Styela clava: one gene and its partner. The protein of the gene in region 1 purifies or fractionates together with the protein of each later gene. This does not show direct contact. Links are inferred from orthologs where the notes say so. Each region holds a gene or a part of one and is shown on either strand. Other genes may lie near its edges.

What was found.
Region 2: the proteins of uncharacterized protein LOC120341675 (region 1) and FGFR1 oncogene partner 2 homolog purify together in Drosophila melanogaster (affinity purification with western blotting; 3 studies listed by BioGRID, with this or other methods). This does not show direct contact. The link is inferred for Styela clava from reciprocal best matches to the Drosophila melanogaster genes Slmap and Fgop2.

Annotation. Positions count from the first base shown.
Region 1 is NC_135263.1:9,213,694-9,225,662, reverse strand, and holds the start of uncharacterized protein LOC120341675, read left to right. Parts: upstream 1-6,191; 5' UTR 6,192-6,432; intron 6,433-6,764; 5' UTR 6,765-6,766; coding exon 6,767-6,949; intron 6,950-7,409; coding exon 7,410-7,557; intron 7,558-9,527; coding exon 9,528-9,594; intron 9,595-11,969.
Region 2 is NC_135254.1:4,412,683-4,425,625, forward strand, and holds FGFR1 oncogene partner 2 homolog, read left to right. Parts: upstream 1-7,515; 5' UTR 7,516-7,703; coding exon 7,704-7,763; intron 7,764-8,790; coding exon 8,791-8,932; intron 8,933-9,817; coding exon 9,818-9,962; intron 9,963-10,578; coding exon 10,579-10,651; intron 10,652-10,964; coding exon 10,965-11,237; 3' UTR 11,238-11,952; downstream 11,953-12,943. Other genes in the region: uncharacterized protein LOC120332696, read right to left, coding at 631-747, 1,112-1,254, 3,110-3,237; proton-transporting V-type ATPase complex assembly regulator TMEM9-like, read right to left, coding at 4,459-5,127.

The DNA of each region.
Region 1 (11,969 bases):
TTTACAGTCTCTTTGGTTCATATTTACTGCATTGGTCAAACGTCATGCATTAGGACAGAGTTTCCCAAACTTTTGGGCCGCGGACCGCTGTTTGTGAATTTTATTTATGATGGACCCCCATCCTATGCTGTAACAATTTCTGTCCCTAACCAACGAGGTACATAATGTTTCATTTACAACACAACAACGCAAACGACATTAATGTGATCAATGACATTAAACAACATGATAGGCAACTCTGACGTCACTCCATAAGACTACAGGCAAAACATTGTATTTCATGATACGCTCCAATGCACATATTTCTCGTCGCCTTTCGCGTCCGTTTTCCGCTCGCTTTTGCTACTCGGCGTCTTTTTTACGTGTAGTACCTGCCTTTTTGCGCCTGTAACGAAACAAAATAATCTCTATATCTAAGAAGTTTTGCTTACTTGGAAAGCTGGAATAACAGGCAAGCTGTAAAGAGCAATTCTGGACATCATAGACGTTTTTTTTTATCAGAAAAGATTACAAACGCGATAGCGGAAAGATTTGTGTGGAACATTTTGCAGATAATGACAAAGTTCAAAGTTAGTAACTTTAATGTTTGCGCTTAATCATTGAAATTTCATTTAAAGAGGGTGTCATACAAAACTGTGCTGCGATACAATTCCATAACACAAAGTTTGCACCTATCGAACTTGCTTTTGTAGGTGAATTTATTAGACATATTACATATTCAGTTAATCGTAGGTAACATTGCTGGTACATAATGCATCGTAGATAGGTTTGTTTAAATTTAGGAATTTAGCTCATAGCCCACTAATTAATATTATCTTCTATGCAGGAGGTTGCAGGGCTGAATTCAACTTGCAGCCTTACCGATCACCTGACGATGCTCATTTAGTTTGGCTCGAGCAAGTCTTCTTGAAATGCTTGTGTGAATGGAAACTACCTATATTTTTTGCCTTCCTCCGATTTTAGACAAATTTATTCTGAGGGATTTCGCATATAATTCTCACTGATTGTTGGCTGTTTATAATTCCTATTGATTGTGAATTCTGATTATAACAATGAGTTGAAAATTTTTTTACCTAATTTACTGGCACCTTTTTCTTGTCAATACTCCAAGCTGAGGTAATAAACATGACAATACATTTATGTCATCTGGAAGCAAAATATGCACACAAATTAATAGTTTGGCACATTGAGATAATACATCATGACAGAAAATACAAGTTAAAGATATGTATGACCATCACATGGTAATTAAAATTAAAAAAAATTAATAGGGGCTGTGGAGTATGGGAAGTTCAAGACAAAGAAAAGAACAAATGTTCATAGCTCATGAACTCTCAATTTTGCCTCCATTGCTTTGTGAAGGCCAATATATTTCGAGTGGCTGAATTGGTTTACCTCTATGATAGCAACGATTTTGTATTTAATATAGCGAGATTATTTCAATTTAATTGAAGTGATATAATTTCCCAAAGCAATGCTTGAATCGTCTAGAATAGATCAGTGGTGTCAAACTCATGGGTTTTCGAGAGCCGCATTACATTTTGAAAATTGTAAAAAGAGCCGCAAACAGTTTTTGATAATGTATACTTAAAAGATATTTTTAAGATAGTTTTAGTTTGTGACATATATTGTGATGCAACTAAACAGTTGGATTAAGTTTTATTATTTTCTTCAATTTCAAATGCAATTACATATTAATATTTGCATTCCACTATTATTGCAACATTTGCAAGTTACAGTATTTATTATAAAAAATCGTAAAATTCTATGTACAACCATCAAAATCATTTTTGAACAAGCTTTGAATAAGGAAAGAATAATACATACACTAAAAATAACTTAATCTAAATATATGAACCTAAAATTAACAAAAATACTACAGTATAAACTCAATGTTTTAATAATTACATTCGTCCTGGCGTTTGGCATCTTTTTTGTGTCACCAGCATACTAAGGCCAGTCTGAAATGATTTTATAGTACTCTAACTAACGAGGCCACATGATCATGGGTTTATCTGGATCTTTACGAATGTTTAAATAATTCCAGTAATGCAAAAAAGTTACTTTTATCATTTCATGTATAGATCAGTAAAAAAACAAATGACAGATTTTTTCGACAAGACATTTCGCACTACATTGCGTGGCATAGGATTGCTTGAATTATTATTGATATTGATTTTTAGTAACTAAGTCGTTGTATAATTATATTAATATACAAACACATGGAAATTTTCTGTTCGAAGTTGGTCTTCGAATTTGTCATATTGACTGCTGAGCTTATTGTGTTTTTTGATTGTATTGATGGAAATATGACAAATTAAACAATGTGCTTCAGAATTTTGTGAAGAGCAGAAATGTTACAACTCCCATTTTCTTCGAAAATGCCACCTTCTTCGTGTACTTTGCGTTTAATTTAATTACTCAAGTGTTTTATTCAAGTATTCTTTTGCTAGCTTGATGTGTATTCTTAATTGGGTCAAAATGTGGACAAAAAAAATTAATATTCCAAAACTACTTTCAGTAAATTGTTTTCTGTGTGAATAATCAATTTCACTTTAGAAGGTTTGAAAAATCTATTACATTTAAATAAAAAAAAAAATTCCAAAATACTATTACAATTATTGTTAAGCGTTCGAGGGCCGCACTGGAAGTTCTCTGGGGCCGCGAGTTTGAGATCCCTGGTCTAGATTGAAGTTGTTCAAAAAATATATTATAGTATTTTATCATGAATGATGATTATACCCCTTTCGGAATTTTTTCTATAGTACTACCAAAAGTTGATGAACCAAATATAACACAAGTGCAGTGAGGTACCCGTAATCCTCATTTCCAAAGCTGTTTTAAGTATGTCTGGCGTGTTTTGTGCCTTTTTACAAATAAGACCGCTTATGCAATCTTACGCTTTGGAATTTTTAGTTATTTTCCTCAAGCCCTGCAGGATGTGGGGGCCATACACAACTCTACCGGAGGGTCAAATGTCTTTGCATGCCTCCATAGGTTGTTTTTCTATTGCAATTTTCTATTTTCAATTGCATTATATTTCTTGGAATCACACTGTCACTGATATGTCACCAGACTTCTGATATCTCCACGTCTGCTATAGTTGTCCTGTGAATAAATAATAGGAAATTGAGATTAGACGAATAGTTGAAAGTTTTGCTTTATGTCGGCTTAATTTCTTGATTGATATACTTACTATTTCTGCTATTGCCTCTTGTGCTGCAAGAGTCTCACAATGCTTAGACAGGTTTGTCCACAACTTTCACATCTGAAGAAAGAGAGGAGATTTATTAATTTTCGTTAAGAATAAATAAAGCAGTCTATATGATTCAGAATGGAAAAGCTAATAAATCCAATATCTCATGTTTTATTTAAAAAATATTTTACTGAATTTTGGAAAATAAACCAACTAATAAAAGGGTTTAGTCAGAAAATTACAAGCATTCGTGGCTCCAAATACTTGAGAAATCAGACTATACAATATAGACCGGTATGAGTGAAATGTTAGGTGAACTTGTTAACACTTTGATTAAATACGCAAATAAAAGTGAATGCGTAATAGTATGTTACAATGAGCAGCAATCAACAATGAGTATATATCCTCACTGATTAAAAAAATCTAACTGGAGGTGCATGAACTATTTGAAACCATAAGGAGTAAGTAAATATGTAATTTCGGCAAATGGGCAACTACGTACCGTACTGAATTAATAACTTCGTAGTATTTGACAAAGGCTGGCTTTCCCACATGTACTTAACAGTGCGATGCCCGGTTGTGATATACAACAATAGTATTCACCTTACCTTTTACCGATTTCTTTTTATCCCAACTTTCAAAAATATCATTAAAATCGACAACAACTGTCAAAGCAGGCACGAACACCATTCGTGCTACGCCTTGAAAGCAGCACACATCCGCTCGTTTTCGTCTCGTCAAGTATGTGCATTGGAGCGTGCTATCGAATACGATCTTCGGACAAAAATGCCGGAGTTGCGCATCATGTTGTTTAATGTCATTGATGTGATGAACGCGGTTGATTTTCAATGCACAATTTCTCAATTCTCGGGGCAGTTTGTGACAAGCAAATTCTTAGATCCAACTCTACGGCATATCTCGGCATATATTTTGTCATCATATTGGTAAGATCTGAAAATGCTGCGCAGACATGTAGGCTGTTTTAAAATGCAATAAATTTTAATTGACTTTTCTGACAGCAATGAATATTCGTCCGCCGCAGTCAACCAAAAATAAGCAATGGAGTTTTGATTGAAATCAATCGTTGAAGATTGACCCAGCTCTTTTCCGGTCGTTGCAGAACCCTCGAGCAGTCATCACGGACACCCAGTTTGGAAAACCCTGCATCAGGATATCATTGGTGCAAGGGCAAATGTAATTTTTACATTTAGTCTAAACAAAAGAAAGATTTCCAAATGTTTGGGACCAAATGTCCACTCATGATGATTTGAATGGAATTTCCCGCGATGGAGAAAAGGGTTTATGTATGATGTTGGTTTTGACAAGATTATTGACTTAACTAGATTTCATTTTTGGACACGTAGTGGACATAGCGATCGTTTCAATATTATGTTGTTGTTGGACATGTAGTGGACATAACGATCGTTTCAATATTATGTTGTTCTTGTTGTTTGACACAGAATAACACACCTAGTGGAAATATTAAAAAAAAACGCTTTTCTCTTCGAATACTGGACCTATTGCTTTGAAATTTTCAGTGGTTGAAGATATTACTTTTATTCATTTTAAATATGTCTGCTAGCTCTGTGAGATTTGTTTTTGTTTGCTATGACGTCATTAAACTTTCTGCGGCCATCGGACGCCATTTTGTGTCCTACTGTACTGCTTCGCTTGGTGTGAATATATTTGTAGACTGTGATCTGACGGTACGGTAAACCGTACTGTACTGCGAACAGACGTGTGCATATATTTGGGCGTAGCTCTCTTGTTTTATTTGATTTGATAATGTTTTTCTTGATTGAAACGATTTAAGTTCATTATTCTTTTATCCAATATGCGGCGCCCGAGAGCTGCATCAAATCCATTTTTCACGTAAACCCTTCCCAATGCCTTTTGTTTGTCTTTATTATTTCGAATTCAAGAGCAAATCCTGGGACAGTGAATCAGAAGTTTGGGTTGTGCACTTTTAGGAGGTTGTGAGTAGACTATATAGGCAATGGTGCTGGTTTCCCAGCTTTAGCTTTGATAATTATCTATACCCAAATTTGTTGTGTCTGTTTAGACAAAATCTTAATTAAGCTTAGACAAGTGAAAGAATATTTTTAAGGGTATTTTAATCATAATTTTATTAGGCCCAAGCCCAATATTCTGATATTACTATCGGACTCATGTTGGTTTATGTCCGCATGTTGTATTCCTAACTTAGAAATTTTTGTGACTGATGTTTGCCTGAACTTGTCTCATACACTGATACTGACAGACTGATCTTCTTTCAGCAACTTAATTGACCAGACTGCCAGAGCTCAACTTTCTGACTTTTCTATTTCAATTATATTTTCCCGAATAAATTTCACCTCTTATATGTTATACTGTTATAAGTTAAGCATAAGTTTATTTTGACATCATAATCAGCATAACAGCCGAAAAATAATTGATAAAAACAAATAAATAAAAGCTGATTGCTGAATTAGGAGATAGAATTGTCAATTGGGGATACAGAAAAAATTACGACTTCATTGAAAAACACTCAAATTTGATCACATCATACTATCTACATTTTGGCCATTGCTGCATTAAATCAACTCTACAGCAATATCACAAAATGCATGTTTATATAAAGGATGTACCACAGCTAATTAAAAAATGTAATAGGCCTATAGCTCGACTGCTCGCTTAGTTACAATAACAGAATAATCAGTAATCTTCAGTTTTGATATTTAATTCTGTAATTGCTTTCAAACTATCAACCTTGATCACTGCATCGTGTAGGGTTTGAATCAAATAATAATTTAATTTATATCCTGTTAAAATAAATTGAATTACGTGGACACAAACTATAAAAAATTTCAGTTTTCTGTAATTGCTTATCATTAATTTATGTTTTATTTACAATTCGTTGAACACCCTTAATTAATGTGTTCCACATCCAATTTAATACAGTAATACCTGAATACTGATATGAAAGCATTTTTTTATATATTACAGTTATATATACTAGTTCATGAGGTCATTATACTGTTACATCATACAGCAATATCAACATTATTATTAACATCATCGGACAATGACTATGATCAGATAATAGTCTAGATACAGCATCATGTAAATTGGTTTGAAGTTCTAAAAACTTGCAACTACAATGACAACTACACATTGTGTTCTTCAACATTGGTGAAGTGCAAAAGTACCTTTGAGCAATTTCCAATTTGAGGATATATCACCCTAAGTACAAACAGGTGAGAACAGATTATTTTGAGACAAATATATGCTTCTTGGTATTGTATCAAGATTTTGGTTCTTACAATCAGTGAACTTGCTATTTTTTTAGCATTTAGTTTGCTAGTCAATAACCATGTATTGTTCTTGCAAGCTGCTACTGTTCTCTTATGAATATATATATATTCAGATATTGGCTTTTTTATTTGGGCAAATTATCAAAACTGCAGAAAACTGGAAAATCAAGGTCAAGCTTTTAATTTATACAAACGAGAGTTGTAAACATATCTCAATGATAAAACATAGTGCTGCTTCATATAAATTTTAAATATGGGTGAAATCATAATTTCAGAAATGACTGCAACATTCACTTGTCGTACAAATTCTCATCCATTCCAAGAGAGGAGAGTTTCGTTGACGGAGCCAGCTAAAATTGGCCGTTCAGTCGCCAGAGCGCGACCAGCAGCAAACAATGCAATATTTGACTGTAAAGTTTTGTCAAGAAATCATGCCTTGTTATGGTATGAAGATGGCAAGGTAAACTTTAGTTGGAATTTCATGAAATTGAAACTTTATTAATGTGAAATGAAATTAGGTTTTGTTCTTATAAATCGGAAATGAAAACAACTTGTGTGGGCACAATGGCTCAACAGTTGACTTTGTAGACATCGCAGGGTAAACATCTCATGCCTACCATCTCAATAATTGAGTTGTCAATGCCGTAACAGACTTCCCAATTCCTCTAGAAAATAGGAGCTCTAAATATCGTTAGATACCAGCTTGCTTGTAGTAACAGGGTCTTGTTCTGAGCAAAAGACATGACACAAAATAGGTAGCCTATGATATATATTCTAACACCGTTATACGATTACTTTGGTAATGTACAAGATGTTTCATCTCAATAGTGTAGATTTGCTTTGATCGAGAAAAATAGCCTTCAATGTGATGAAAATATAGTATGCTATATCAATCTAATCTTATGTTTCTTTTTCTTCAGTTTTATTTGAAAGATACTAAAAGCAGTAATGGGACTTTTGTAAATAACCAAAGATTAAGTAAAGGTGCTGAAGAAAGTATGCCATTCGAAGTAAATTCTGGTGACATTGTGCAGTTCGGCGTTGATGTGGTGGAGAACTCAAGAAGAGGTGACCTGGTGTTTTTCTTATAATTCTAGATAGTGGTGATTTGAGTGAGATGTGATAAGTTATATAGCATTGGCTGACATTGTTAATTGTTATATTTAAATCAGTTTGTGGTTTATTAAAGATTAGTTCTGGTAGTCTAGTCCAGTTATATAAAGCAAGAATTTGTTTTTGTTGCAAGTTCCTCATTCAGATTTGCTAGGAGCAATCTTTAAATATTGAAATTACATTGATTGTATTGGTAGAAATTTTGACAGTATTATATAATATCTTTTGAGTGTTCCATATAATATTCTTCTGCATCTAAATTTTGTATTTGTTGTATACCACTCCTGTAAATATATCATGAACTTGGCTTTAATTTTGTTAAAAATGCAAGTTGTACGAACTGGAGAACCAGCCACCACCCAAAAATAAGCCAATTAAGTATCAAAAGAGAATGATGCATATTGACCGAATGGAAGTTCAAAACTGATCAATTCTAAATTAATTATATTTGATGTTTTAAATTCGTGATTTTAGGAATAATTTAGTGGAGATTCATTTCAAAATTTATCATTTTAACCTCCACAATCCACATCATATATGAAACGGCCTTATTAGGAGGTATACAATAAATAGTTGACCAATCAAATCACTAGGCTATTCATCTTAACCTTCCTGCATTTGCAAATTCAAACTCATTGAATGCAATGCAACTTGACTTCTTTATGTTTTATTTTAACATGGCCCAATTAGAATATATTTATTAATCATATCCAAACATTATTTCAGAATGTATTTAGAATTGTATATTATTCGGTTTTGATCCTTGCTTACTGTTCGCTTCTTGGTAGATATTCCTTTCAATATAACATAACAATTATGTTATGATAACTCATATTAAGTTGGAAGATTTTTTTGTTTAAGCCCATGAGCATAATCACCTCTGAATTCCAAATCATATTCTCACTTGTAAAGTTGAATTATCTTAAATTTCAAATTTTAGATATATTGAAACTTTAATATTGAATAATTAAATTATCGTAGCAATGCAGTCATGTGTGTCCACGAACAATCAAATTGATTTAAACAACTTTTGATTTTGTGGTTATACCTCTCGTAATTGTTCTAGTTCATGCCTCAAACAATACCCAAGTAGGAGTTTGAATTCATTCACTTGAACAAGACACTCAATAGTCCAATCCTACTTATCCTGTCGTAGTAATAGGGTATACACAAATGGCTCCGATGGGGATTCTATGAATACAAAATATGTCCTTGCATAAAATAAACTACATTGATTTTGGTTTATTTTTATGTCAGTTGTCAACTAATTTACTAAATCAATCAAAAGTATCCCTACTTTCCATATGCATGAACGCTTTTAGTGTTTCATGTCAAATTTTATGGATGAAAATCCAGCAGATAGGTTATTTTTGCAGAATACATTCATACATTTAGATTGATGGTTTCCTACCTTTTTTAATACATTCCCCCTTTGCATGTTATGAAACTCTTCTTTCCCCCTTGCAATGCTTACTAGCAGATGATATGCACATCTTGCATGAGGGCTCACGTACAATTTGTAATAAATGTATAAATTTGTATTACAATACTGCTAAATGAGTCAATATTTGTTATACTACACGCAGGTACAGAAGTTTCTCCCCAAAAATAGTAACATTCTTTCCTGGGACGGAAATGATTCCTGACATAATCAAATTTCGAAACTAATCTCCAATCAAATTTCTCGATTATGAAACCATATGATCATCCTTAGTCATACACACCATTGCTTACCCTCTAAGTTTAAATTACGGTATAGCATGTAATATGTGGTACATATAGTGATATTTTTCTACTCATGCGGTTTACATAACAGCATTCTATATATAGAAGGTAATATTTAGTTGTAATGCTTCAGATACTTCCATCTCTCTCAGTAAATTTACTATTTCACTATATAATAATACTATATTTTTAATTTTTAGTAACTCATGGCTGTATTGTTTCACAAGTACGTTTATATCTTCCAAATGGTGATGAAGCCAAACAAAGGTAATTATATGACTTTTATTTATCACAACAAGCAATAGTAGTTTATTCAAAAGTTACTTGTTATTAGAATGTAAATGGATGTTGATGTGTAGCATTCAACTATATATTAAATTCTTCGATGATAAAATACTATCCATGCTATTGGATTGATCAAATTTCATACAGGAAGAGTTGTTTATTTATATTGAATAGCTTTTAATGTGGGCTGCATAGTGGGCTATTCTGAATTGTTCACACCAGTGAACTGATGTGGTAGAAAGCAGTAAAAATAATGAGTCAGACATGACCCTGTGACTGAGTAATTCACACTTTCCTGGGCTGTCCTGCTCTTTGTGGTGCTGTCTATTTGACATTTACTCTTTGTTGGTGCTTTTGGTTCAGCATTTGTAGGAACTTCTGTATAGATGGTGCATTGTATAGTAGTTGACTAGTTGTATTCAAATATTTAGTCTTCCAGTAACAGCTGTTTAAAAAGGATGAAATATTTGTGATCTTAGAGTATTGTGGTTTAGCGATTAAATAAATTGGATAGATTACTCTTAAAAATAATTGGCAATAGATAGAGAAATCAATAATTTTCATGTTTGAATGGCTAGATATTTTCAAACTTGTGCCTTGTGACTGATTTGAGATATGAAATTTTTATGGATAGATGCAATAAATAGGCCAATTGCGACTGAAATATACATTATCTAAAGAGGTAAAATGCTCATGTAACATGTAGGTTTTCCTCCAACAATTTTTCCTCTATATTTTGAAATTGTGGTTGGCGTAAACAGGCTCATTTATCCAATATAAAAGTGTTAATAATGTTGTACATTTTATGATTCAGTTACACAATTGAATAAACAAAATTACAATTCAAAGCAAAAACTCAAACACATTTCCCATTGTGCTTCATTTTTATACAATAGAAATATGTAGGCAATAAAAATAGAAACACCCATGGATGGTGAAGTTTTTATCAATGATATAGATAGTGTCTGCTTCAAATTAACATACAAATAGTGTGCTTGAGAATGGCTAAATAACTTATACCTCTCATATTGGAATATAAAGAAATTGCATAGGAAACAGTTACCTGGTGCTGATATAAATACTACCGTAATAAACTTTCAGTGAAGATTGAATATAAATAAGTTTTCTACCAGGGTTGTTTGTATGTAATTAGTCAAATATGTGATTCTGTTCTGATTACATTTGATATTAAGAATTCTTGATTCTGAAATAGTTTCATTTGAAAGATTATCATGAACAATTGAAGTCTCACAGCAAGAGTAAAAGTAAAAGAAAACTTGAAAATTCTGAAAAAATATTGCCACCAATAAAACTACTATTTATCTACAAATTATATTACTTTATTTATTCATATGTTGACTCCTATGTGTTGTTTATGAACACGAGCCAACTTGGGATGTATTCCATAATTTAATACATATTATATTCAGCAGTAAAATAATAGATTATTAGGGTTTGCCTTACGAGATATTTTTGAAATGGCATGGTATTTTCTAATATTGATGTCTAAAATATGCTGTGATAACTTCTGTAATGAATAGAGACTGATTGAAGGAATTGATTGTAGACAAGAAATAATTTATAAATTAATCAATATAAGTTATGTAAAAATATTTGTTGAATTAATATTTGAAACAACTATATTGTGTCTGACATTGTATTTCTGCATTAACTTATCCCGAAGCGAAGAAATCGCCTCACTTATAATATTAGATCAAATCACTAAGCAGTTTCTACCAAAGAATCCTATGTAAAAGTAAATTTTAAAAAATTCATTTCATGAAAACACATGTATAAATAGCACAACATATAGGAAAATGTTTGTGTATAGACTGAAATAAAATTTTCTAATCGACTGCAAAGACAGCAGATTAAATTTAATTTGAATAATATCCGAAACATCTATTTAATATTCAATCTTAAGTTGCTACACTTTAGATGTTGTAACAAAACCAGAATAAAATCCTTACATGCTTAATTGCGATTCTTGATAATATCTGAAAATGATATCAAACAAGGTAGAAGATGTCAAATCTTTATCTTATGCGATTCCCCCCTTGGGCAATTTTGATGAACTCATTTGGCACCATGACATCTTTTTATATCTTATTTATGAACATAAAAAATACCTTGTTGTATCAACTTACTTTACCAACACACATAGGATAAATACTTATTTGAAATGGTTTAAACTTAAGACTGTTATTGGTTGTCATAATTTCATGACAGGTGTAGTGTCATGACTGTCATCCTCTTAATTAATGTGATAATTGAGCAAAGTATATATCACGATTCTGTCCTAGTTAGCCGACAAAACCATCTCTCGCCATTCTTGGTCAATAGAAACTTTTGATATA
Region 2 (12,943 bases), on another chromosome or scaffold:
CAAAATTGTGTGCAAGATAAACAATATTCGTGCCACTTTGGTATGTGGTTTCAACGTTATAAAACCACTTTGGTTCGTAATCCCACTTGCTTAACATGATCGAAATTGGGCGCCCCCGAAGTATGTGCACCAAGATGGCGCACAACCTGAACCCTAACCTGGTACACATACTATGTTCAGGTTGTGCACCATCTTGATGCACATTTTTCTGGAGTTCCCAAAATTGCATAAAAACATCCTCATGGATTTCAGTTCCTATCACAGAGATCACATAACTGCTAAGACCGTATACCAAAGTCCCGATATTCTAATAAACACTAATAATCAGATTCTTTGACTGTGGTATTCAAATATACAGGGTGTCCATAAAGTCCCTTTTACAAGTCTCAATTTTGTTATCAAGTAACAAAAGTTATGAAGTTCTCAATATATCTTAACCAGGTTTGTTGTTTTTTATTCAGTAATTGTTCAAGTATTTTTACTTCATTTAATACAACTGTGAGGGCCAAAACGATATAGCATCAGTAAATTCCCTTTGCAATTTTATAATTTGTGGACACCCTATTATTTTACAGTTCGATTTCGACATTCTTGTCACACATAGTGCGCAATAACAGTACTTCTTCTTACCTTTGATAAAGTCCTCTTGTTCGTCAGCGATATTCTTAACTGCATTGTAAGTGTGAGTATGGATCAATATCTGATCTCCTGGCTCAAATTTCAAGCATTTCACCACAGTGTTGATGCCTGAGAAATAATAATAAATTAAAATAGTTTTCTAACACTCAGCTAAGGGTAAGACAGTTGGTGCAAATTTTGCTCTGAACCTACTAAATTTAATTCTAATCTCAACAATGTCGTTGAGTTATTCTTAGCTGAAACATCAAAATTTGGTTAAGATAGGATTTACATATTTATCCCGGGGGAGAGGAAAGTTGGTAAGACGGCTTAACCATATGGCGAACCACGGCCTCTCGTCCGGTTATCTGTCCATGTCGGGTATGGGATTAGTTAGTTATTTTTGTTTTCGGAAGCATGGACTTGATGGTGGAGTAAGCCGTTTAAGTTGCGATAAAATCGGCCTAATATTTGACATTTGCAAACTTCAAACCTGTAGTCACATTGTCAACAAGCACCAAGTTCGATTTATTAACTCCAAGAAATTCCGCAGCAGCTGTGAGAGAAGCATCGTAGTATTTTTCCAGGTTGAATCGGAACCAGAGGTCGGGCTGCGCTTCTTGCTCATATATGAACCTGAAATAAGTTGATAGTGTCATAGGATGGTCCAAAAAAAACAGAACCCAAGTCATCTGGAAAATATTCTAGAGCAGGGGTTCTCAAATGATGAGGCGCGCCCCACAAGGGGGCCATGGATAATATTTTGAGGGAGCGCTAATTAAAAATTAAAATATTTGTTCGATTCGATATTGCCCCCTTTAATTTGGATATTTACATTCTTTTACTCTTTGGTTAGAGATTGTGATTCCATCCACGTATTTTCAACATGTTTTTCGAATAAAACATACTTTCGCCTTACTATCTGTTATATGTAGCTTATTGTCAGCTAGTTATTTTCGAGGTGGGGCACAAGACTTGACAAGTCATTAAAAGGGGGCGAGGATTAAAAAATTAAAAAGAGAACAACTGTTCTAGAGAGAACATAAATTTCAAACAGTCCTAGATTACTAAAACTTTTGGATACAATCATACACAAACAGAAATCAAATGTTAAATAAATATCCTTCAAAATTTATAAGTTCTCTTTTTTGAGTCACCCTGTCAGAGAGAATTGTACTTATACAATGGTTTACTTAAATTATTTGCTTGGTGCAGGGGTGGGCAATTACTTTTCTGAGTGAGTCTGCTACAGATAACAGACTTGGTTACTGGGCCAGAGGCCTATTATGAAAAACTATGAATAAAAACAGTTTACTTACAACTACTTGTCTGTCAGCTAGGCTACTGTTTGTATAATAATATTAAGCAGAATGTAACTATCAGCGTCATTATGATGTTATTTTCATCTAGATTTTTAACAGAATTTATATCCATAAAACTATAGTTATAATTTCAGCAGCCCACACTGGACCTGGATGAAACATTTCGGTGGGCCAGATCTGGCCTGCAGGCGTAATTTGCCCACCCCTGGCTTGGGGGATAGGAGCTCACAGGGTTAAGATGATTTATCAGGAGCTCACAGGGTTAAGATGATTTATCAGGTTCGGATGCCATGGTGGTAAACTACAGATTACTGTTATGCTAGTTAGTGGTTCAAAATACCAGGCAATTGAAATGATAAACTACTTGTTACCTATCTCCTAATACCTGTCCTGGCATCTTAATTAATAATACTCTGCACAATTAGGCTTTATGGCAGGGGTGGGCAAAATTTTTTAGTATAAGAGCCGCATGTAGCAAGTCAGAAATATGTGAGAGCCGCATAATTTTTGAAATTAATAATATTAGAACGTAAGATTAGTCGTTTGACCGATTTAAATTAAATTCCACGCTACGATTTTCATACTAAAACAGAATTTGTCTTAATCATAGTAGAAAACTTCGTTCAACCGCATAATGATTTAAAAACTGTTGCGCTACAGTTTCTCATAGTTAAATTTGGATAATATATTACTATTGCTAGCGAGAAGAGCCGCATAAAAACCCTGGCGAGTCACATGCGGCTCGTGAGCCGCTGTTTGCCCGTTGCTTTATGGGCTTATCTCTCCCCCCAGTAAAAATATGAAAATCCTGTACATTATTAATATACATTTAACTGAGTTACAATTGAGTGGCAAGGCTTTTCATATAGATTTAAAATTCTATTCTACAAGGATATCAATAAATAATATTACATAAAATTACTGTCTTTGAGTATGCAAAATTATTTCAGTCAATATCATGTATTTCAGCATAAATGAGAGTTTTGATAATATCATAGTTTAATCATATATTACGGCACCGTTGCTTGATAACCAATATTACTAATTTTGTGTTGACCGTCATCCTGAAATGCCTTTTTTACATTGTGTATGCACAGTGTATTTTTAGCATTATGAAAAAGTGAACACTAATAACTGATAAATCCCAATATTCAAAAATGAGAACTTACTTGACTTTCTGTTCCACCACTCTCTTAGGAGTTGGCCCATAAGATCCATGGTTCACAAAAGCACATGATTTATCCAAGAGAAACTCATCCTTCATTTCATCTCCAAACTTTACGTCTTTCAAATCCATATTTCCAATGCGATACCAAAAGATAGATTAGAAAATTTAGATATTACTTTGATCTAAATAAGTAATAAATTGCTATAATATCACATCACAACAGAGAGAGAAATTTTGAATACACTGATAAAGTATTTTCTGCATGGTTCAAATATAAAATATATTATGTTTTATTTTTTTTACACAAGATTTGACCCCAGGAAGTAATGACCCAGAAACTATTCAAGCATCATTGATTCCCAAAGGTGAAATAGCTTTCAATTCAGGTTTAATCAAAACAAGATTGCCCTCACGAGAAATTAGATTAGAGATAGAAGAGTAGCAGACAGCCACTGACACTTGTTACTCACATAATGATTTTTAAGTGTTTGTTTTCCATATAAGCTCCAATAAAAACGGACAGTGAAATTGCTTCTCTGTTGGTTAGTTAGCAACAATATGCACTAATAATTTTATGTGCGTAAAAAAAGACTCCAAGAAGCAAGAAAAAATAAAATAATAGCCGCCCAATAAGACAGCCCCCCCTAAAATCAGGTCAAAAAATTGGGTCGAGAGAAGCGACTTAATAACCAGGAAATACTGTTTATTGGTATAATCTTGGATAACTATCTTGACTGAAACACAAACTAAAACTTGCTGCTAAAATAAGTTGACTATTGCACAAAACAAAAACAAAAAAAATTAATCACGAATAACTTGTGCACAGGAATCACAAAAAAACTGCAAGTCTAAGTTCCTAGTAAAAAACCTAGAGAAGTTTTAGGTTTCTAAATAAAGTATTCAATATGGCCAAGAATTCGATGCAGTATAAAAAGAGCATGTTGGTTGTCCCGAATTGGCTTCCTACGTAACAAAAGTAAACTAGACCTTAAGACTGAGGTTTTATAGAATTGCTTTAATATGATCTTCATTTTAGTCCAGAAAAAGAGGGCTTAATCATATGATAGTAAGTGAGTCTATAGTCTCGTCACCGGGTCGAGAATTACTAAACAGTCCGATGCAAAAAATAGGGGGTAACAAAGAGGTGTCGGCTAATTGATTTGGATTCTAACACAAGCCTTTATTACCTAGACTTGCATACACATATTGTGAAAAATAGAAAAATGAGTATGAGGAACCACTTTCTAATATCAATCTCAAGTAGTTTGGATTATTTTTGTGTTGTAGAGGCAAAGAAAATCCAATCAATTCATCCTTTCATCGGCGAGGAATTCGTGCAATCTTTTCCCATTATTGCAGAATATTTCTACTCTCAAAGACTTTATCCCGTTGGCTTTTTAGTTGTCGCTTCCACTCTACTTGTGCGTTTGTTAGTCGATTCATCATCATAGAACTTGTAGAACTATGCTGCCTCCGATGGCTGCGAAAGCGCATATTTTCGGCAGTTTCAGATGAAGTCGAGGGTCGATCTTCACTGACTAAATTCTGAGTTTCAACTCCTTGTTCTCGATTCCGCTTTTTACCGATAAAATCAACTAATCCAACAATTGCCAAATATGAGAATAATATTCCAATTAAAATCAGATACATCAGGACAACAACCTCCATAGTCTTAGTGCTTCGTACTTCATATTTACACTGACACAAGAGGCAGTATTGTTCCAGCATTACGCCAGATATATTTGCCCAATTCAATTCCGGAACGACAACATCTAAACAGTTACATTTTTCTTGAACTGCATCTTTTGTATAAACCTTTCTCGGAATATTGAGAGCAATAAGTTGTTTGCAAGTGCAGCGACACCGAATGTCATTGAATTTTGCTTCTGCCGATATCTCACATAAAAGGTTACAAATAGTGAGTAAAAATAAAGTTAGTAACGACCCCTTAATAGTAGGCAACATGATTATTTGTCCGTTTAATACTATATCTAAAATATTCTGAGAAGATGAAAACATTGTCAAGCAATGATACTAAATAAAGAATCAAGAATCCGGTATTCATTTTCACCAAGTAAAAATGTGTCTATGTGCCTAATTAGGTAACAAACAAATCAAAATTATATACAAAGAGGTATGATATTACTGAATTACAACACCATTTGCAAATTTATATAGTTTTTATTAATTTTTAGACGCAGAAGCTTTAGAAATAGGATAAGATTTACATGTTATACCCGGAGACCAGTCTGGATTTCATGGCCTTTTTGAACGAGAAATCGGGCGTGCAATCAGAAATTCCCGCGTGCAAATAAGAATTCCTGGCGTGCAATTATAGCTCACGACGTGCAAAACAACTGCACTCGCGTGCAACTGACTTTGACATCAGATACCTCTCAATACATCCGCGTAAAATTACCGGTATCGGATAAAAAAATACGTTGAATCAGAGAAAAAATGGACGTTTGACCTTTGACCCCAAACATTATTTCTACAGTTTGTCGCTAATTTTGAGAGTGTTTGTGCGACTTTGGATACCGGTACTGTTCAGTACATCCGCGTAAAATTATTGGATAAAAAATACGTTGAACCAGAGCAAAATGGACATACTTTGTCATTAATTTTGGTAGTGTTTTTACGTAGAATTAATGGATAAATAATACGTCAAATTAGAGCAAAATGGAAGTTTGATTTTTGACCCCAAACATTATTTTCATACTTTGTCACTAATTTTGGGAGTGTTTGAGCAACTTTAGATACCGGTACTGTTCAGTACATTCGTGTAAAATTATTGTATGAAAAATACGCTGAATCAGAGCCGTACTTGGCCATTGGTGCGGAGGCGATCTTTTCGTCCATAACTATTCTCACGGGATTCCTATTTCCTATCATTCAACACGATATGAACCTTTCCCCGAGCATCGACTTCCTTGTTTACTTCGTGACATTGGCCAATCAGCAAGATGCAAAAAAGGACGTAACAATGAGAGGAATTTTTCGCGGGTCAAAGGTTGGGGAAAGGTCCATGGTCTTTTTGCTTCGCAATATTTCGATCAGACCAAATCTTGCAAGCTGGTATTTGTCGACAATTGTGGAGTTATAATATTTTGGCATCTTTATATTACTGGATTATTGATTTTAAAACTATTTAAACCGATTTACATTGGTGAGCAATTGCAAATTTTCGGCGTGCAAAATTGATTTCGCTCGCGTGCATTTTTGCGGAGCGCTAGCGCCCTCGGGCGTGCACCTGCCATGGAATCCAGTCTGGCCCGGAGATACAATCAATTTTTTTTTGGTCACTCTGAAAGAAACAAAACAACAACAAACAGACAAACAAAATGCAGAGGACCTGGGCATAACTTAATAGAAAAGTTAAAAAACAGACGAGTGCGTGCCCGTCCACCAAAAACAGTCAAAAGAAAACAATAAAATCAAGACACGATGTAAAATCGAGCGATATCTTTCAAATTAATTCTTATGCGTGATTACAGAAAAAATTGATTGATCAGTGAAATTTTTTTACAAAACAAAAGTTAATCATGAGAAAATGAACTAGGCTATGTACAGTATGTGAGAAAGTGGCATGCATAGACTTGCTACAACAGACAGAATCGTTAAAGCAGACATGTACAATTACAACCGTCTGCACTCCCGAAGGTAACAGGCATTCAACTTCTTATTTACAAAAATGTACCGGTAATGATTTAGAGCTTGCATTCTTGTGCGGCTGTTTTTGAGAATGATACCGGTAGCCTACATAAAATAATAACCTCCAGTCGAACGCTACCGGTACCGTACCGGTGCCGGGTACGGTATGCTGTGAAATGTAACTGAACTGTACCGGTAACTGTTCTCCATTCTGCACCCGATTCATTCTGGTAATTATGAATCAGTATCTCTTTGTATCGCAGTGTCAGCCTCCTAAGAGCCTTGTTTAAAATAAAAAAGGACAAAGCCCGTGTATAAAAAAAAACAGGCTATTCCAAATATCTTCTCAAAGCCCCGTTTGATCCCAAACTGTATTCGCGCAAAAGTACCTCAATTCGCGCAAATCTTCCAAAATGTTTTTATCATTTCGATCAAAGTCCTTATATTTCGATCGGCTGCTGGCGCCTCGAGAAGAAAGTGGTTGATAATGTGGTTAACTGGGGAAGAAGCCGTCTATATTGTTTTATTGCAAATTTATAATAAATGTTATCATAAACAAAAATACCTGAAACATTCACCCACTCGTGAAAACTTTTAAAAGGTCAGTTCACCATGAACGATTTGTGGGAATAATACCGTTAGTGGCGATAGAGATACATTCTTTGTTTCCTCAAGTTACCAAATTTATGCCTGATGTCCTACATTCAGACCGTCATTTTTCTTATTTTATTGCTAAAAATGCATTTTCAATACATTTTTTTGGATAACTGTATTTTAGAGCAAAATATCTTTAGTTATATCATATATCTTGTTTTAAGTTATCAACATAGAAAACGATTTTTTGCAAAAAGTAAATTTAAAATCTGGCATATTGAAAAAGAAAAAAGGGTATTTTTTGAAGAGCAATCAGTCTAGTTTCCTTGTACATCGACTAGTTTGCAAAAATGAATATCACCATCGAGTCGTTGCTTGCGGACGCTAAATATCTTGTTACAAGATTGAAGGTAGAGTATTTCAATGTTTTGACAGTTAATAAAGGCTTCTACATATAATTCAATCCTCTTGAGGCAGACTTCCGGCTTTTTTACTGATTCAGGTTTTGATATTTATCCCTGGGAAGGGAAAGTCAATAACTGGCTGACTAATCCCATACCCGACATGGACTGGTAACCGGACGAGAGACTGTGGTTTGCCATATGATTAAGCCATGCTATTGTCTTTCTTCTCCCCCCCCCCCGAGATAAAAATGTAAATTCTATCAGTCTATCCTAGTCCTAAGAAAGCTTAATTACATGGCGAACCACAGTCTCTTGTCTGGTTCGCGGGCCATATTGGATATGAAGCTCATTCAACCAGTTATTAGTTTTCAGATGCATGGACTTGATTGTGTGGTAAGCTGTAACAGACCAGCGGTCACATGAACCGTTCTGTTTCTTCAGATATTAGAATACTGACTTGTGGCTATTGTATGTCAGTTCATGTAAAGGCTGGTTTGTTACTGCTTACTCCAATGTCCAAGAGCAGAAGTGCGAGTACCTGTAATGTTGAACTATAAATTAACTTACGTTGATCAGTATTATAGTAGACTAATAGTGAAAAATATTGGTATGTCTGTATATGTATGTATGTATGTTTACTAATATATCAAATTCCTTCTCTGTTGGGAAAATTGTGATGTCATAGTCTTTCGAATCATTCTAAACCACTAAAAGGCCCTGTGAATGTACTAGTTAAATTAGTGATTTCTAATCTTCTCTCCTGGTCAGACCCAAGTATAATTTTATTAGTTTGAAAGCCACGAGCATCTAAAAATCTTTTGAAAGTTATTGCACCCTGGATTATGAACCAACTAAGTGATATTTCGATCAGCCAGGGTTTATGCGGGCCACACAATTGAAACAAATTTTGGTACTCCTGTAGTATGTGAACCAAGATGGCGGAGCCAACATGCTTCTGGAGGTCACAAATTTTCAGTGCTTTCTAGCATGCACTATCGAAAGATTATTCTTTTATTTTCATCTATTATCCCAGGATCATGACAGCGCTGCTGAAAGTCTTGCCGAACAGGCTTCAACTCTCAAGAAAGAGATGGAAGCGAGAAACACATATCAAGAAAATTTGATTGAACTGAACAAAGTTGCTGGACACAGACCAAGGTCTACTTTAGTCTTAGGTAAGACAAATTTTTAAAAGAACCAGTGCTAGCTTTGCTCATGTTTTTAATGTGATATTTTTTATGATTATCTTTGCTTGCCTGTATGATATTTCCGGACATGACGTGATCGTTTTTTTATCTTGTACTGAAATTTCAATTCGAAATTGGTAATTAAGAATTAATTATCTTAAATTAGTGGTTATAAGGAAGTGGTGGAAGTTATTATTAGTTTGGAATAGAAAAAAATGTAAATATTGTAAAAATGTATAAACCAGTGGTTCCCAACTTTTTTTGGTTTGCAACCTCCTTTGGTGGTTTACACATACCTCGCGACCCTCTGCCTCACTTTCTGTACTTTCCAATAAAATAAGCGGTAAAGTGAATATTGTGTAATTTAATTTTTCATCAAGCTGCAGCTGTGATGGCTGGCATTGAAACCGCGTAGCCAACTGCGTAATTCGTGGTTTGAGTTTTTGACAAAGCTAATCTCAAGATGTATGATAATCTTCACAAACTACAAGCCTACCCTGCAGTAGACCCCTTGGTATTGAAATCCTGTTCCACAGCATTGCTTCGAAGCCTGTGTGTTTACCGCGTCACGGCGCGGAAATGCAGACGAGTTCGTGTGGCGTCACAATGGTTAACATGCCATATACAACTCGCGCAGCTTGCCTCTTTCGGAGGCAAACGAGAGTCAATTCCAGACTTCTTCTCGTTCTATTGGCAATATTTAACCTAGAGCTTTGTACTATTTTCTACTGTTTGGCAAGACCTTCGCGACCCCCTTGAAAACCCGCCCCGTCTCCAGGTTGGAAACCACTGTTTTAAACAAATGTGGATCTCAAATAATACTTCTGATAAAAAAAAAATTATGTTTGCTAAATTCACACTTTTATCTTCAAGGTATTCAGCAAGAAAATAATGCAATTCGGTCCCTACAACATGAGAATGATGAATTGCGACAAAGTTTGACCGACCACCAGAACGCATTGGAACTTATCATGACTAAGTACAGACAGCAGATGATGAAGTTCACTAAGCACCAAAAGTATGTGGATCTTGTCAATGTATTTCATAATCTCAGTGAGAGGAAAGTCTGATTAAATACATTTAATGCTGATAAATACATTTATTCCATTTATACTCAAGTCCATGCCCACAAAAACTAATCCCATACCTGAGGACATGGTTAGCCATATGATCAAGCTGTCTTATTGTCTTTTCCCTTCTCGTGGATGAATATTTAGGCTATTTTCTATCCTAATGTTGAAAAATAATAATGAACTTTCAATTGGCTTAAAATATCAAAATCAATCAACTGTGACTAGAACCACTGGTTATAAACCAGTGGATTTTGAGTTGGGCCACAGAACTGATAAAAATTGCTAGTTTTATTTATATTACAATAGTTAGTTTTGATTTTAGCTACAATCAATGACAATGCTGTTTACTGCTAATAGGTGGTAATTCCAATTCAAATAAAAAACGTTGAAGTGCCAGTTTTCGCAGAAAGATCTTGATTTCACTTCCAGTTTTCCCCTTGCAATAAAAAAGTTAATGGGCCACAAGAATATTTGGGCAATAAAAATGGGCCATGAAAGAAAAAAGATTGAGGACCACTGGTAGACAGCATTTATAATTTTATTTATATCTTCCACTTTCAGCATCCAGATCACTGAAAATGCTTATCAAGCAGAAAAACAATATCAAGAAGAGAATATGGAGCTAATTGATAAGGTACTTTTAATTTTATAGTAGAAAAGATGAGCATCCTGATTAATCAAGATCAGTATATTATATATTTGCCCTGCAGGTGTACAAGCAGACACTACGCACTAATATCTGACGATATGTAATGAGCTACTAATATTTGAAGGACGGGACTCTTTCTTACTTGGCAATCTTGTCATTGTTAATGCTGCAGGTTTGACAAGAAATATTCAAGCACACAAATTCGACCACATGGTGGCGCTGAAGATTCAAGTTATTTCAAAACAAAAAAGGGTTGCAGTTTTATCTAACAAACATTGTTTATCTTTCTATGTTCCAGATTCACGAGATGGCTGCTGTGATGAGGCATGCTGCGGATGTCGACGATGAGCAATATATCAGAGATTACGAAGAATTATCCCGATTGCAAACAGAAAATGACATTTTAAGAGAAATGCTGATGATATCTAAGAGTTCATTTGGATCAAGACTTATAACCACTGAACAGAAAGATTCTGGAAAGACTGACAAACCAGAATATGAATCTGAAATGGTGCTCACTGACGATACTACTAGTGATAAGACAGTTATACATGAGGGGGAATCCCCCTAACACTACTCCCCAGACAGTTATTTTATTACAATAGGGAGGACGTTTATGTTCCTTCGAAGGGTACTCCCGTAGTATGTGTGTACCAGGTTCATAATTCATTCAGATTTTTCTTATTTTAGTTTTATTTTGAGTTCGGGACTGTCTGTGTTAGCCAAGTGGATATACCCCTTGCCCATAGGTTTCAGTCCCTTTTCACAACTTGATGTAATGTAAGCGAACAAAATTAGTTACCTCCATATTGGTACACATACTTCCGGAGCGCCCCTTACTCTTGTTATTCCTTGTGTTTCTATCGAAACTCAGTACTAAGGAAATATATCTGGTTCATACAAAGTACTCTGCACAAGACTGTAGGCTGTCCAGGGGTTTTGCAGGTTTGTATTGAAATCCTGTAGTCTATATCAGGGCTACTCAACTGGGGGCCGCGGCCCGATTTCGGACCTTTCGGGTATTTGATCCGAACGCATAATTCTTCATTTTGGATCATTAGCCCACTTTTGAAGTTCATTTTATAAAATCACTTTTATAGATTTAAAAATATATATGAAAAGAACTATAACACCATAACAAACAATCTTGATTACCTAATAATCATTAGTCGGCCGAGGAATCGTGTGCTTGAGGATGCCGAAATATAATGTCTGGAAAGTCCGGATCCAGATATTTTTGAAGTTTTGTATGCGGACCTCCGGTAAAAACAGTTGAGTAGCCCTGGTCTATATTATTACATTTATCTTGTTTAAATATAATTAAATACACGGATATAATATAATGAGTGTGTTTCATGAGAGACTTTCATTTTCTCTACATTAGAGCTAAGATCAATTCCGGCCCAGGCCCGTGGGTATGGAACCCGACCGGTGTCCGACTAATTAACTGGATTTGCAGGCCCGAGCCCGAAGCAAACCCGAAATTTTATATTTTAATCAGGAGATCTCTGAATTGTCATTGCAAGAGTGTCGTGTTGATGGGGCAACTTCTGTTTTTTGCAGACCACGGTCTTTCGTGGCAAAAACGCTTCTTTTAACAAAAAAGTCAGCGACAGAACAGCCAGACCCGGCTCGAATTCCGGGTTCAGGCTTCAGATCTTAGCTCTACTCTACATCAAATTTCCGTTTCACATTTTTTGATTGTCATATTATAATGTATATTCAGTTACACAGGGGTTCTTAAGCCTTTGAAATGTTTATTGGGGTTCCTCTCCTTCAATTAAGGTTGAAAAATCTTTGCTCTAGACCATGGGTGTGCAACCTTTTTTATTGGCGGGCCAAATACAAGTAACTGGATGAAGCCGCGGGCCGCAACTTTATTTAATTTAGGCTTTCTGGTAGTTAGTTGCAAGCACAAAAATTGCCTATATTTGCTATTGATCTTACGGCATTAATAGGGGTTCTTGCAGAAATAGTAGATTTAAAACGCATAAACTTCTGAAGAAACTGCTATTTAAATTTTTTGTTACACCGACTTTAAACGAATGCAGTGAGAAACACGTTTTTGTAATATAAATCGTGTATTTTGCTAGCTCGTTTTGCTAATATGACTGGTATGGGCTTTGTGACGAAAAAGAATAAATACTCGTTTTGCGGGTACACCATTCGAAATTGTTATTTCTCCGCGGGCCGCAGTTTGCACACCCCTGCTCTAGACAAGAAACACTCAGAACTCACAAACAGTACTATCAAAAAAACAGCAACAACACAAACAAA